Drosophila melanogaster: one gene and its partner. Changing the gene in region 2 together with the main gene of any one other region gives a genetic interaction. Each region holds a gene or a part of one and is shown on either strand. Other genes may lie near its edges.

The links. A genetic interaction does not mean that the proteins touch.
Region 1: of zfh1 (region 2) and tin, changing one enhances a phenotype caused by changing the other (phenotypic enhancement), as found in Drosophila melanogaster (one study listed by BioGRID).

Annotation. Positions count from the first base shown.
Region 1 is NT_033777.3:21,377,137-21,382,479, reverse strand, and holds tin (tinman), read right to left. Parts: upstream 3,504-5,343; 5' UTR 3,234-3,503; coding exon 3,049-3,233; intron 2,147-3,048; coding exon 1,536-2,146; intron 1,108-1,535; coding exon 653-1,107; 3' UTR 510-652; downstream 1-509. UniProt on the Drosophila melanogaster protein: Required for the development of heart and visceral muscle; for the formation of somatic muscles. Has a crucial function in the early mesodermal subdivisions.
Region 2 is NT_033777.3:30,764,313-30,768,951, reverse strand, and holds the start of zfh1 (Zn finger homeodomain 1), read right to left. Parts: upstream 3,027-4,639; 5' UTR 2,669-3,026; coding exon 2,572-2,668; intron 1-2,571. UniProt on the Drosophila melanogaster protein: Involved in the development of the embryonic central nervous system, embryonic mesoderm and adult musculature.

The DNA.
Region 1 (5,343 bases), 9.4 Mb from region 2:
TTCATTCGCCTTCGAATTCGTTTTTCATAAAACTGATCGCTCTCTCCGATAAAATTGATTTATGCGGCGATCGGCGGCAATTATACGCAGATGCGGTGCCTAATGGATCGGTGGCCGATCGAAAGCTGTTCATGAAGATATAAATGCGAGTGCGCCAGAGCAAGGAGTCATGGGATTCAGTGGTGTAAGTTCACACGACAGGCCAAGCTGAAATTCTGATTGATCTTTAGCTGAAATTGGTTGTATTGAGTCTGCAAGATACAAAAGGATGCGGAAAGAAAATCTTTTAAAAATCCTATTCTAATGGGTGAACTTATTCCCTGATAATAATATACCTCTACCATTTTAAAAAACGGAACATAACTTTTAACTTTTCTAAAGCCAAGAATGATCCATTTTTCTGATATATGAAATAATTGTTAAAAAAAAACAAGTTAGCTCCGAAAGTCAAACCAATGTCAAATGCATACAGAAATCGTTGAAAATGAAATATATAGTCTGAACTGATTGGTCTTAAGCTTTATTTATTGTCCAATATATACATAAAACAAAGAACTAGAACTATGAGGCGTTTTCCTTAGACTACAACATGTATTCTTCTTGAAACTGCAATAAATTAGAGACTCGAATCCTTCGTCCTGCGAGATGTCCACTACATGTGCTGCATCTGTTGCTGCTGTGCATGATGCTGCTGCTGCTGCTGCGATTGCTGCATGGTTGGGGGCCACATCACGTGGTTGGGAATCGGCGGGGGCAGAGAAGTGGGCGAGTCCAGGGGCTCGGACTTCAACTTCAGATGCTTGGCGATGCCCTCGCAGTCGATGTCGCCACGTTTCGATTTGTAGCGCCGATTCTGGAACCAAATCTTCACTTGGGTGGCCGACAGGTTAAGCTTTTGCGCGATTATCTCGCGCTCCGCACCCGTCAGATACTTTTTGAGTCGAAAGCGACACTCCAGCTCCAGGACCTGTGCCTGGGAAAAGAGCACGCGAGGCTTTCGCTTCATCCGGGGCTTGGTGGAACCACTGTTGCTCCCCGGATTGCTGTTCCCACTGATGCTGTTTTTTCGCAGCTCGGAACGCGAGGAGGTCACCTGGCTGTTATCCTCTGAAAGATAGCCAATATCGAGAATATAGTAGAATATAATAGTTATAACTAGTTAAGGGACTAGGCACTAGTTTAGGATCATATTCAAACAATGTTTTACTTTGCCATTACAATTTCATCCATAAATCATCTTTCAATCCTTAAACACTTTGTTGTTTAATTTAATTATATATTGAATTTTTAACTTGACGTTATTTGGAATGAATCTATCTTTGAACCTTAAGAAATTTTATGTTTTTATGTTTTAAAACAGATGAACAACGAATTTGATTTATTAGCCCATTATCCTCATTTTTTATATTCGAAGGCACACTTCCTATGTATGTATGTACATATGTATTCCCCAAATCGTTCTAATTGCTTAATAATTAACATCCATACATTTCATAGATCCACTTCTCCATTAAACAATTAAACAAGATACTCACTTTTTTTGGCGCCCTCATCTGAACCGTAGATGCTCCTTAGGGAGGACGAGTTGCTAGCGGTCTCCATGAGGCGCTGCGACAGGGGATTGACGCACAGCTTCTGCGTCGGAGCTTGCAGGCTGTCCACCTCAGCGGAGCTGTTGAGGTCCAGGGTGGGCGAGGGCGTGACGTATGGCGTGGGTATGTACTCGCTCTTGATGCCCACCGCCGAGGGCGTGGCTCCACCGTACACCTCACCAGATCCGGCGTAGTTGTAGTTGTAGGTGGCGGGGGTCTGGTAGGCCGTGGCCGAGGCGCCGGCGTAGAACTGCGAGGCGGACATGTTGTAGGCCGAGGCGGAGTGCTGGAAACTCTGGTGGGGATGTCCGTGATGGTGCTGGAACATGTGGGCGGGCATACCGTAGTCCTGGTATCCGCCGTACAGCTGGTGCGGCGGGGGTGGCAAGAGTGGCGATAGGGACGACGATGTGGTGGCGCCATCGTCCAAGTGTTGGTGATGCAGTTGCTGCTGCGGAATCGGCAGCTCGGATTGCTGATGCTGCTGGTGGTTGAGGTACTGGTGGGGATTCTGGTACTCACCGGCGGCGAAGAGCGCCGAGGCAGTCGCCGCGCTGCGGGAAAGCAGGAAAATGGAAAAGCGCAAGGTTAGAAACAAGGCAATACAAAGTCTCGTATATGGCCGCCATATGTTGCATCACGGAGGACACAGCCCGGGGAGCTGGGACGAGGACTTTTTGCCCACTTCCTGCTGGCGCGACAGGATCCATGGTGACATCATTTCATGGCTCATCAGGCAATTAAGGACGCCCCTGTGCGGCGGTCCACACATGCGAATCACACATGTTGACCAGCCCAGAAGGGATCGGGCGGACCAGCGATCGCCGTGACTCCCGACTGCCTGCCTCGGACATTGTTGTTCTTATTGTTAACACTGTCTCTCCTCGTCTTTGTCTTCGGCCTCTTGTACAAATAACGATGATTTGTCAAAGCCTCGAGCTCAACGCTCAACGCTTGACGCTCTCCGATCCCAGATCCTATTTGCAATTCATGCTTTCTATGTGTTTTCATAGGATTTCTTCTGCTACGTCTCGGCGGAAGGTTATCAAAATATTATCTTTCTTTGGAAAATTGGTAGAAATTAATTTTCCTATGGAGCCCTATTAAATAAAAATAAATAAAAGCGATCGGGACGGGGAAGGGCGCTGTCTTCGAGAAGAAGTCACTGACAGGTAGAAGTGGTGGAAATGTCCATGTATGCCAGTTGATAGCTAAAAATGGCTCAACTAACAGTTGGTCTCTCTCTGAACTGCACAGATACCTTCTTAAATCATTGCAATTTAGATAGTTAACCGGTATAATAATTAGTTTTATATCATATATGTACACTGATTCGATTTAGTAGATTTTGGTAACATGTAGAACACAGTACCTTGGAACTAGTCTATTGGTGTACCCCAATTTTTAGTTGCTTTTGACCCTTAATGTATAATTGATTCAAAACTTCCAAGCTTACCCATCGATATGCCCGTAGGAACCTTCGTAGGCCTCCGTTTGGTTGACCATGTTCAGGATATCCTTGACCGAAAATGGAGTGGTGTTCAGGGCATCCGCGTTCGTCAGGCTGCCCGGACTGGGGGACTGAGTGTAGTGATCGTAGTAGCCACCCGATTGAGCCTGCTGCTGATGGTGCTGCAACATCCTCGCTGTGCGATCACTTGGCCACTTGAGAAGCACTTCGATTTAAATAAGTCCAACAATTTGCCAAATCGCACTTGAACTTGCGACACTTGAATTGGAATCTCGGTAGTCCAGTAATCGAGCAAACACTCCACGCAACCGTTAGCGCAACCGTAAGTGAGTCGTAGCCCGTAATCGGCAATCAGTAGTCCGTAACCCGTAAGCCGTAAAGCGCCGTTCCGATGCGCACTCGACCGTGTCTGCAATTTGTCAGCTCGATTTTGGTACTGAACGCGTACTCCTTTCACCCCAGACCGCCTCATGCCACTGTGTTTTTGGATGTGTGTGAGCGAACTGAGCATACGGGCAAAATGGCCGCCCCGGAGCCAATCACAGCACAGCATCGGAATGCGAGTGCGGCATCTCGCTCTTCTGCGCTAGAGATGTGCGAGGCTGTCATATGCTTAGGAGATTTATAAAATATGTATCCAAATATAAAAAACTAATTTATGTATTACATTTGTAAATTTAATCTAATAGCTTAAGAATATATATGGTATTGACAATATATTTTAAGTTCTGTCCATCACTAATTCCAAACATGTATGCTTGTATGCATGTATGAAAGTATCTTTGCACAATCGCACACATTGTACCTGACTATCAGATTCAATAACCGACTCCTCCAGCTGCTCCCCGTTGTTATTAGTTGTTTGTTCGCAGCCACTTTATGCTGATTTTGTTTCGCTACTTGAGCTTAAGTATCCGTATTTATTATCGTAAAGTCCTTAAGTTTTATAGTCCCCATGTATTTACGTTTGTCCGCGCGTCTTGTGTATTAAACGGTTGTCAAGTGGCGCTCAAGTGCAGATTTTCGCACACTTGATTTTAAGAGTGTACTAAGCTAACAAATAAATAAATCGTGGGGAATATGTTTGGTTTAAACGTTACGCTCTCATATATTATTGTTTATTTCACTTGAAACTGTTATGATTTAATAGAGATGAATAACATGGATATGTGAAGTTGTCTAAATAGAGCAACATTTTTAATAATATTTCGCCTTTATGGGATGAATACCTTCATTTCGAATCTTGGCATTGCACCAAAAACGTGTTCACATATGTATATAATTGCATATGTAGTGCATATGTACATACAGTACACAGATATACATATTATGTACATACATATTTTGTTTGGTATGTTTAAGAACTTTTAGCGAATATTTGCCTTTCTTATAATCCTATTAAGTCACTTTTTTTTTAAAAATATAGTGCCCTTGTGCATTCAGAGTGTAGGGTTTACGTAGTGACGATGCGCTCCATAAGAGTTTGTCAGAGTTATAATGAATTCCGCTAGAAAATAATCCTCCATTCGTAAAAAATCGAAGGCCCAGTTTAAAAAATAGGAGAATTTAAAAAAGTTAAAATTTTTCTGTTTATCTTATGAATTTTATTCTAGTTGTGCTAGTTTGACTGCTAGTCTTTAAACTCGTTAATTTGTATTTTGTTTTATTTCATTTAAAATAAATTAAACATTAAGCTAGACAACAAAACTGTTGTGAAATAAGAAATTTCGTCATAACATAAATACATCGTATACTTAGGCCGATATTTTCTTAGTCCTACAACCTTTTTTAACACACCCGCAAACTAAAATCCTACAGCATATGTAAACTAAAGTATGTAAAAGTTTTCAAAAAGTTATGAACTTAATTATGTGATTTTCGTACTAACATTTAAAAAAAAAATATCAAAGCACATCAACTATCAATATTCATAAAAGTATTTCGATATAAATATTTTAAGCTATCGATATATTGTCACTTTTTGTTTTGCCATCGCCAGCAATCTCGTCGCCTGGTAACACTTCTAATTTTCACGTCAAAGAACTCGGACGCGTTCTGCGTGTCGGCCGCGCTAGCAAAAAACTCTGGCTTTAGTTAGTTATTTTATTGGAAAAATATTTAGTCAAGAGGTGAGTAATGGCGCCCCAAGTGAATATACACAGTAGGTTGCGGTCATTAAGCGAGATAAATGTAATTTACACACACGCACACACAGACAGACGCGTGAAAATTTCCCAGTTTTTTTTGGCTGCAGTGCATTCTATTTTGTGTGTGCCTTTG
Region 2 (4,639 bases):
GCAATTTTGCCTGCCCTTTGGCAACACCTTTTTTAAGGGGGTGTTGCAAGGGTTGGGTGGCAGGGGGCACCCTTTTGTTTGCGCCGATTTTTTGGCACTTTTTTTTCGGGGGATAGCACGGGTAGCAATTGTTGTCTCGTGGAGAGCGGCGGGCATTAAATAAATAAGAAAAAATATATTCGCAAGGAGGCGGGCTGCATTCCGTGCAATTTTCACTTTACAACTGTTTCAAAGTTATCTTTGTTTCAATTGTGTGCACGACGGCGGCAAAAAGCGAGCAGCAAAAAATATTGGCAAACAATTTACTTTTTGGCCAAAATGCGAAATAAAAGTAAAATGTGGCAAATAATTTGCCCAAAGCTGCGGCAGGTTGAACACGGAATAAAGGGAATCTGCAGCAGGATATCAAAGAGGACTTTCCCCTCATTGATTTATTGTCCTTTTGTGCTGGTTGCAAATGGGGAGCTTCCTTTTTTTTTTTTGCTCTGTAGCCTGGCTCAATTGCAATTTAAAGACACAGTCTGTTTATTTTGGGCAAAGTCGGGCCGAAGTCTCCAACTCCACTTGAGATAGGCATCGGCAAAATTAATCATCTTTGCATGCCAGTTGCCAGATAGTTTGTGGGGCCAAGTTTGTTTAATTTCGATTACCAGCTGACGGGGCAGAGTCCTGTGCCCGGTGAAAGATGCAGGATGAGCCGGCCAGGAGTTATAAATGGCAGCACCGACAGCACCAGCATATAAAACTGACATCCACTGACAGCAGCCAAAATGATTAATTAGACAGGAGGCAATCTTGTTGCTGGTGGAACACACACACTAGGTAGGTATTCCCAATCGAAGATGCAAATGTCAGATAAATGTTTAATTTCTGCTCAGGGCTTCGATGGGCGAAAATGGGAATGGAAATTGGCGCTGATTTATACATAGAGTATATTTAGAGTATATTTAGCTAAGGGGCGTAGTCGAAGGTGATAACAGGCGACAGGTTTTCGCCAGGGCGAAATCTTTGATTTACGGCATTTTGGAGCCGTTTCGAAATGCGACACAACACACGCCGAGCAGCCGGAAAATTAGTACAACTTGACTAGCTGGCTGGCTGACTAGCTGGCTGGCTGGCTGGCGTTTTCCCCCGGCTTTTCCAAAAGCCCAGCGAACAGCATTTCGTATGTAGCCGGCGATTAATATCCATCGCAGTCGCAGCTGCCCAGCGCCATCAAGCAGCTCGGTTTGCCCAGGGAAGAGACGGAAAACAAGCGGAAAGTATATGGATCGAAGATATGTGGGCCAACCTGTGCGCAGCCATCTCTGATCGATTAGCCAAACTATCGTGTTCGAGGGCTTTTAGTTCCGCCCACAGAGAACGGAGCTGCTTAAATAGCCATAAATTATAATTTATGGCAGCGGTGTTGCCACCGTTTCAACCGTTTCCACCGAACATGTGCAATTAATCCGTCTCTTTAGCTGGCTTATCAATTGTCAGAGTCGGAGGAGTGGAGCACCGAACGAATCGTGGGCGTTTCCCCAGCATTGCGCCATCCCCAATGCTCCCCAACTAAGCGTTTTCAATTAATTTCGGCTCTTTCTCACACCTTCCATTTCAACCGATGAGCTCTGCCCACTGACAGTTTTATGCTTTGTTTACACTCGATAAACAGAGTGGCAAGCGACCAGCAATATGGCCATAAAACAGGTTCTTAAATGGAGGTGCGGCATCGCGGTAATGGTGTTGGCCAAGTTAGCTACCTGTCGTCTGCTGTTTCAGCCTGCGCATGCGGTTTTCCTGGTCAGGGGTAGCTCTACCTGGTTCTCGGTGGGTGGAGATTACTGGCAAGGCGGCGGTGCTGTTTCGGCGGTGCCAACAAATCAAATTGAGATGTGGCTGCAATTGGTCGGCCACTGGGAGGAACAGAGAGGTGGCTATGCTATGCAATGCAGGGAATAATGCCATTATTCAAGATCGACTGGCCGACTTTCATGTGTGAAGAGCGTGATATGACCAATAGATATAAGAAATCGAATGATCTGCCATGTTAAACCGTACTAATTTTAACTATATTGTAGTTTTAGCTCATGGAAAAGGACTTTCGTAGCTGAAAACCAGCGAATGATTATAGTTGAACAACAATAAGTTCTTTAAGTTCTCAAAGCGTATAGAAGTTGCACAAAGTGACCCAGTTTTCTCTCAGTGTGCTGATCGGGCAAACTTTTTCGGTTTCGGGCTCGCTCTCTCCTTTTTGAGAACCGGAGCCCGTTCTCTGCGTAGGAGTAGGTAATGGTAATTCGAGACCTGCCTCGATCCTTACTCGCCGTTTATGAGTTTGTTTTTCTATAGCTACTCATTCTTATGATCCCCTGAAGGTGGAGACCACACATATACCCAAGATGGCGGATGGTTTCTGGGAAACTGCTAAGCTTGCATGTGGGGATCTTCAAATCGAAGCTACCGAGTCTTGGCGCGCGAATCACTTGAACACAAAGTTCTATGGCACGGCTGATTGGTGATAATGGAGGCGGTTTGCGGATGAATCACCCGAGATCTGTGCTCCAGATCCGCGTTCTGATCACTTACACTGCATGGCGAAGGGGGAGGTGGAGGGCATGCTCTGCTGAATGATGGTATCCTCTTGGCCGAAACGTGAAGACGACGGCGCCAGACAGGACAACATTTGGAATGCTTGTTGCAACACTTGCTCTACTTTGATGCGGATAGTTTGTTTGGCTAGTTGGCTAGTTGGCTAGTGGGTTCTTCTGGGCTCGGCGTTATTTCTTTCTTATAGAGCACACACGTGTTGTGGCGGCCATTTGGGCAAGGGCCTTGGGTTTTTTATCTTTCGAACATGGGAAACACTGGGATTTTTCTTCGCGATGCGCCGCTGCGAGTGTCGCGTTTGTTTTTATTTTGTGGGCGATTTCACTGATCTGCGTTCTATATCTGCGTGATTCTACTGTGTGCTGCTCAGAGTTTTCTCTGTGGGTGAGCGACGCGTGTGCTGCCGTCGCGACGTCTACGATGCAACTGAATTCAGAGTTCTAAGTTTCGAAGCATCAAGCCAAATCCGAGAACGAAACAGAGACCGACGTCCTCTACCGAATCCGTCGGATGCGAACTGTGAGTTTCGGGCGAGGGCGATACGGCGGGGTTCTACGTTTCCACGGAGAGCGAGTGAGAGAGGGCGGCGCTGTTTGTGTGTGTGCTCCGTGCCACCACCAGCATAATATAACGGTGTAACGGTTCACCGTTCCGATGTACGAGGTGATTCGGGCGGGGGTAGTGTGGTTGGTGCTCTAATGCTCTGATGGGTGGTGTGTTGGTGGTGGTGCCAGAGAAGCGAGAGCGCTTCATTCTTAACATAACAGCTCTCTGTTATCGCATATCGTAAATGTTAAGCGCTGTTAGTGCCGCTCCTCTCGGTTATCCCGTGACGTAAGCACTACGTAAGGGTGGCCTCTTTTGTTCATCGTGCTGCTCGTAAACATATGGCCGTTATGCGGGATTTGACTATATTAACATTTGCACAAAATTTCGTTTTTATTGATAAAGCGACTTATGAGTCTTTCCATTAACTTTTCCGCCAACCGTCAAATTTATTTCGGTGTTATTTTATTAATACTCTGTGCTGCTGGGTATCAATATTAAAGTGTAGAGCTTAAGTGATTTACATATTTAATTGTTATAATTAGGAAATATTTTTAATAAACAGTTTAATACTCAACAATAAATAGGAATTATCTGAAATTCCCAGAATTGAACAGCAATAAGATAGTTTAATTATATACTTGTATTATAATTTTTTAAGTCTTTCCGGTAAATCAAGTTTATGACAAAATATTCCCCGTGTGGGAATTACACACATATGTATGCATATCGCTATGATTAATTCCCCACTCAAGAAAGCTTTCGATCGTTTTTCTTTCGGGTAAATTTGGCGGTGCGAGATAAAGGGGATTTCTTTTTTCCAGGGAATCCCTTAACCCTTTCCTGGCCACATCGCTGCGTTAACGGACAAAATCATTTGCACTTGCGATTGCAAAATTTCCTCTGCTGCGATTTCCGAGTAAGAAATACCGAAATCGTTCCGCGATTGCCACACATTAATGACATCGTTTGCTGATGGGCGAGTTCTTGAGAATGTCCATCAATGGACACGTCTACAAAATGACAGAAGAACAGAGATCCAAGAGATCCCGGACAACCGAAGAATTCTAACGAAGAGAGCAGAATGCGAGTGGCTTGATTCTTTGGCTCCATCAACAAGTTTTGGCGGCCCCTTGGGATGTTGCTTTTTTTGTACTTTATATTTTGCTGCTCAAAGAAACATATAGATTTGAAAACTAAAAGTATAAATGGATAAAAAGATATTTATGGTAACAGAAATTGTGTTATCGAAAAAAAAAGCGAAACATGCTCTCTTTGATAAAAAGCAAAAACAAAAGGCGGACTCGACAACATAATAAACAATTTGTACATTAATTTTTAATGCGGTTAACATGTGTTCCCCCTTCTCCCTCACACACCCATACACTCACAAACGCGGTCGCTACGTGTGTGTAAGTGTAAAATAGGTGGAGCTTCATAATTTTCTCACTTGAAACGTACTGCCATGAGCGGGAAAGAGAGCGCCGGCGGTGCAAGCGAG